Linked DNA regions of Kluyveromyces lactis. The protein of the gene in region 2 binds, or shares a complex with, the protein of the main gene of each other region. Links are inferred from orthologs where the notes say so. Each region holds a gene or a part of one and is shown on either strand. Other genes may lie near its edges.

The links.
Region 1: the proteins of ATG8 (region 2) and ATG32 are in contact, whole or in part, in a crystal structure (PDB 3VXW), measured with the Saccharomyces cerevisiae proteins. The link is inferred for Kluyveromyces lactis from reciprocal best matches to the Saccharomyces cerevisiae genes ATG8 and ATG32. Residues at the interface, in NP_009475.1 of Saccharomyces cerevisiae: Glu17, Ile21, Arg28, Pro30, Val31, Lys46, Lys48, Tyr49, Leu50, Val51, Pro52, Leu55, Phe60, Val63, Arg67, Phe104; in NP_012120.1 of Saccharomyces cerevisiae: Ser85, Trp86, Gln87, Ala88, Ile89, Gln90.

Annotation. Positions count from the first base shown.
Region 1 is NC_006037.1:63,853-67,279, reverse strand, and holds ATG32 (mitophagy protein ATG32), read left to right. Parts: upstream 1-1,308; coding exon 1,309-2,883; downstream 2,884-3,427. UniProt on the Saccharomyces cerevisiae protein: Mitophagy-specific receptor that recruits the autophagic machinery to mitochondria and regulates selective degradation of mitochondria.
Region 2 is NC_006041.1:1,828,139-1,830,624, forward strand, and holds ATG8 (ubiquitin-like protein ATG8), read left to right. Parts: upstream 1-1,558; coding exon 1,559-1,933; downstream 1,934-2,486. Other genes in the region: isoleucine--tRNA ligase ILS1, read left to right, coding at 1-119; RTT105 (Rtt105p), read left to right, coding at 489-1,052.

The DNA of each region.
Region 1 (3,427 bases), on a different chromosome or scaffold from region 2:
TCTTGTTTCAGCAAGGGATGATACAGATTCCCTCCCCTTTCAAAAGAAAAGATCAGGAAACCTTAAACGCTGATTGCTGCTCCTGGATGAGAGCTGAAAAGATAACGGAAGCAGGGGCGCCAATAGGGTAAACCCGGTCAAAACGGGTGTGGCAAGACCCAAATAGAGCTAATTAAATCTGCTTGTTTTTTTTCGTAACCTAATGAACCGCTAGTCAGTGCACTCATGTTCTATATAGTGAATACACAATGACCGGAAAATATTGTCTCTCCTCAGGTAATCTTCACTAGCCTCCCTTGTTCATAGAAGAAGTGTGCGACCACTGAAATTCTTGCAATACATTTAAGGTTTTCTTAAAACCTCAGTCAAAGTCATCTTAAAATGTTGCTTGCACCGATATCAGTGTGCTGCTCCGATTTGTAATCTACAACAGTGTCTCTAGCATAGTCACAATATATATATATATACATCAGGCAACATTCACTTGCATTTTATTATATATTATCGCCAAGAGTGGATATATTAAAAAAAAAAGGTTTAAGATCGTCCGTTGAAAAGTCGTTCTTCACACACTTTGTGGTTATCTTTTTTAACTATTTTACCGTTTGTTCGATCAACTAAAGCTCACCATAGCGTAAACTGAAGGGATAAGGCTTTCTATATTAGTTGTTGAGTGGAGACTTTTTAGTATTTTTCTCCGCTTGGTACTATTTCATTATTATAGGTGTCAAGTTTTAAGTTTCAAGTGCCAAGCATCAGCCCGTGACTCAATACCACATAGATTCACAAAAGAAGAGTCGTGTAGTGTTTGTCACACTGAAGAAAACACATATCAGAATCTGCATTTTTTTTTTGATTTTTTTCCTACTAAGCTCTGACGTTGAGTGGCTGAACTAAAGTTGGAGAAGCTACTTTTATTTTTATAGATCTGTTGATTGATCCTCTAAACGTGTCTGTGTTTGTTGTACCTTAAACCAGTCTTTTGTCCCTCTGATTTGTATTCAAATTTCTTTTTGTTACATTACTTAAAGGTACGCTGATATTGATTTATTAATATTACAAAGCTCTTAAGGGTTTATTCCTCCTTGATTACTCTATTTGGGTCTTTTGAAGAGGTATAGTTCACAGCCATAACTCTTGTCTCTGATTAACTGATAATCTTTGATTTTTATTCGGACTCTATTCTTCTCCTTTTCGCGAAGTCTTAGAGTGAGCTAAGAACTCATTTATAAAGGGGTTTGCTAGTGTTTGTCGTATTGTCACTACAAAGGGTCAGTTGAATATTTTACTATTTTTTTCTGTTAACAGATGTCTGGGTCTAAAGGGGTCTGGGGTGCACCTCCTGGTAACAATAATCGTCAGTTATATTCACTAGATGCTGGAAGCAGCGGCAGCGGTGTTAGTGCCAGTAGTGCTCAGCGACACAGTATTCTCGATCCACATGACTCAGTTATGGATTTATTGAACGGACAGCAAAGCTGTGCATTCGATTCCAGGCTGATCCAAAATCAAGATTTAATCGATAGGAAGGGTAAAAGTAACAATATTGATCATAATGATATTAATACTCACACTCATAGTAAAGGACTCACAGATTCATGGCAGGCCATTGATCGGGATGAATATTCTTTTTTAAATGCTGGAAATCATAATAACTATCATAATACCTCAAATGGCGACTTCAATCAACAATTTGGCGGGGTGTTATCATCTGACACTTCTGAAGAAGAGGTTGAAATTAATGCTGCTCCTTCGCCTAATTTGAGTGCTTCTCAGCAGCACAACCAATTTCTAGCCTATCCTTTATCATCAACAGGTTTTGGTGATCAGGGAAATAGTGAAACTACAGTCCATCAGTTTTCTGACGGTGATCCAGTTAAATCGACTAAAACTGGTCAATTTTCAAAAGCAGAACTAGGTGCTGGCACTGGCGAAGATGAGACGATAATGGTCAATTTGGGCCATTCTTGGGCGGGCAGCTTTTTTGTTATGCCGAAATTGTCCTTATCGGAGTCTATGAAAAGATTCAAGATTTTAATTTTGAGCGATGGAGACTCAGCTAACTCTTTCTATAACCGTCTATCTCGGTATCACCGACTAATGTTTGACGTCGGAAAACTCAACGAAGCTTCAAAAGAGGAAGCATTGAAATATACTGCTTTCATGATAATCTTTTCAGATTCAAAGAAAGTGACTACAATCCTAAATAGAATGTGGAAGAAATACGGAGATTTCACTTTGATTCCAATATGTCAAAAGGGTCAGAAGCAAAGCGTCACGGAAAAGGTCAAAACATTTGCTAACTCTAACAAAATAAAATTGATGTCGTACCCTGTGGTAATATCCGATCATTACGAGATACACGGGTTGTTGCGGCATTTGCACTCTCTATACGTTGAAGTAGATTCTGACTATGAGACGGATATACCTAAAAAAACTAAACCAAGAAAAGGTGCAAAAAAGAAGCCGGCCCCTCATCTTGCAAAAAGATGGTGGTTTTGGCCAATATCTATAGCGCTTGGCGTTGGGATTGGGTGTTGCGTCACCTTTTATTTCAGCAAGTTCGAGACTTCCTCGTATAATTCATCAGTTGGGGTTATTCAGACAGCAGATAAGGAGATCGATGCTATTGTTGACGCTATAGAAGGAAATTCACCGTCAATACTTGAGGAAAGCTCTCCGCAGTCAATTTCTGATTTCTTGGGTCAAGTGTGCAAATTAGTTAAGGATACTGCTATCCAGATCAATGAATTATTAAAGCAGTTTCTTTCGGCTCATTTAATGACGTCTGCTTGGATTCAATCCATTGGTAAAGAATTCATGCAACCTGACTCGCAGAGTACCATTTCAAAAGTCACTGCTTTGGATTTAGTGATGTTTTGAACCGGGGTACGTTTATATGCTGCAATTTGGTGTATGTAGTGATGTAACTAGATGTTGTTTTTTTCAAAAGTATGAATTGTTGCCCAACTTTTGTTTTCAGATTGAGCCTTCAATATACAATTTTAGTCCCTAAATGTCAATAGCACAATATTCAATTCTGAGACTTTATTTCAATCTGTTTTTATTCCCAAGGTTTCTCATTTAGTGATTTGTCTCAACTAAGTATCCCAGTTCATATAGGCTATCACAATCTATGTCACTTTAGACAGGATACTTTTTGATAAGTTGTGTATTTTATTTTTGTTTACTGTACAGGCTTGTGACATTTTTCAAGGTTTAAACCCTTACTTTATGTTAGTAAAAGATCCTCATTCACAAAATGAAAAACTTAGATGAATTAAAAGAAAACAAAGATCAAAGTTTAAGAAGTTCATTGGTTCTTGATAGGAGACGTCATGAGGGGATTGTAAATTGTCTGTCATTAATACCAACCTAACCTGTATTCCAGACTTCAACCTCGTATGCTAACTATCGGACGATAATA
Region 2 (2,486 bases):
TGACTAAGACATGTAGGTCTGAAATCCTGAAGGCTGAAGGATCAGAAACCAATCCACTTGCTGATGAAGAACTATCTATCAACGATACCATCTTCAAGTTGAAGATTTTCAAATTATAGATGTTGAAATGTATATAAAGTGGGAAAAAATGTATAGCAGTTACGTTTCTCTAGTGAAACGAAACCCGTCCGTACTACTTATAAATTCACCACATTTAATTAATTTAATTGCAATTATTGGCTCCGTAGATCACCTCTGCTGATTCTCTAGCAACAGTCGATCTCATATCTTATTTCGAATATAATGTGTATATGTAATTCTAAGGCGTTTTCAGTTTATGAAGTTAATCGAACAAAAAACCATATCTCTAGACCAGCATCATTAAACGCCAAAAGGATTAAGGTTATTTCTATGTACGCTGGGGAAAGAAGCCTGGAGCAGGCCGTCCGGTGTATTGCAGACGTTAATCCACAACTTTGAAGCTCTACATGAACTGTATACCGAGCAGTCCGGTTCATGGCAGATATCACGAAGAAGATAGCGATTCCGATCTTGACAATGTCCAAAGTAACGATGGAAGAGCCGATTCTAATATCACTGATGAAATATTGGAAGAGCGAAAGCTCAAATATCAAAGGTACAAGCAACCGTTATCATCATCGTCCCCCATTAGAGACCTTATGAGAGAAAGAAGGAAGGGCAGACTACGGGAACTGGCAAGAGAGAAGAAGATCAATAGCTACAGAAACGACATGGAACAATTCGTCATGGAACAAGAATACCTACGACACTTGCAAGACATGCAACAAGAAGCACAGAAACACGAGATACCGCCAGATGAGATTGATAGACTGGTAGAAGATGAAGGAGAGGTCGTGAATAGTGCCGATGAACCCGCTATGTTGAATAATATTTCCACAAAGAGGGAGCCAAAACAGCTAAATGAGGATGAAGAGCTGATACGGCTGATAGAACTGCAGGAAGAGTACGAATCCTTGATGGAGCAAGAACAACAGGAGCTCGAGGAAACCTTATCTGGCTTTAGCATATAGAGCAGCAGCTTCCACACATATATACGTACATAGTATTGTTACCCGGATATCACGTGATTCATTTTCTGTCTTTCCCACGTGACTTAAGGGTCAACGGCATCTCAAACCGTTTAAGGGGGGAACACTTTTGTTTTGTCATTTTCCAAACAGCAGAAAGGGTATAAAAAGGGAACACACGCGAAGATCAAAGCGGCGCATATCATCGATAACTAAACAAAGAGCGTTTTTCTTAGCTACCCAGTAATCTGTTTGAGTTTTGCAAGAAAAGTGCAGTACAGTGCTATTACGTGCAAGTTTTTTTCTTGAGAGAGAGAAAGAACCAGAAAGACGGATAAAAAGAGACACAACACGATTCAAGAGTTGGAACAAATCAGCTAGACTTTTGAAAGTTAAGTTACAAACATCTTTTCGGGTTATTAGTTTGAAATAGAGACAGGAGAATATTTCAAGAGAGTTTGATTATTTTTATCGGTGTTACGTATTATAGGAGAGAGTTTTAAAACGCAATGAAATCTGCATTCAAATCTGAGTTCCCATTTGAAAAGAGAAAGGCTGAATCTGAAAGGATAGTGCAAAAGTTCCATAACCGTATTCCAGTGATCTGTGAAAGAGGTGGCAAATCGGATATTCCAGACATTGATAAACGCAAATATTTGGTGCCAGGAGATTTGACTGTTGGCCAATTTGTTTATGTAATTAGAAAGAGAATCAAGCTACCTGCTGAAAAGGCTATTTTCATCTTTGTCAATGATACTTTACCTCCAACAGCAGCTTTAATGTCTTCTATTTACCAACAACACAAGGATAAGGACGGGTTCCTTTATGTATCCTATTCGAGTGAAAACACTTTTGGTGACGATGCCCTGTTTTCTGAGGAATGAGATTAAGTTAAACTTTCTTCCCTTTAAGTTTTCTTTTATGATTCCATTAGGTTGTTCTGCTTGATGCAAAACAAGTAACTAATGCACAATTTTGAACCAGATATTGTTGAAAAGATGATCTAAAAGAAAGAACCTGAATAACAATATTGAAGTGATGATAAGATGAAATGCATTGTCGAATGTCTACGATGCTATTATTTTCTATTCTTCCACACCTTTTGCTCTAGATATATACCGAAGCAGTATTTGAAATCTTTCTGATATGTTTTCCCTTCTATTTATCCTATTCTCATATTTCTAGCTGCAACAGTTCCCTAGATCTGGACAAAGCGTTGCTTATAATACCTGCTGATGAAGTCATATGTTGCCGTTCCATAATGAAATCTCTAGGCTTTTTTTTTTCACTTCGAAAGAGGTTCTTCATAAATATACAATTTTATATACCTCTTCAGCAGATTGCAGGTCGAAATTCGGTTTAATATATTCTTTCCATAACCAAAGACTTATCGCAACATCATAAGAAAGCAATATTGATATTAGTTGTTTTGTTTAT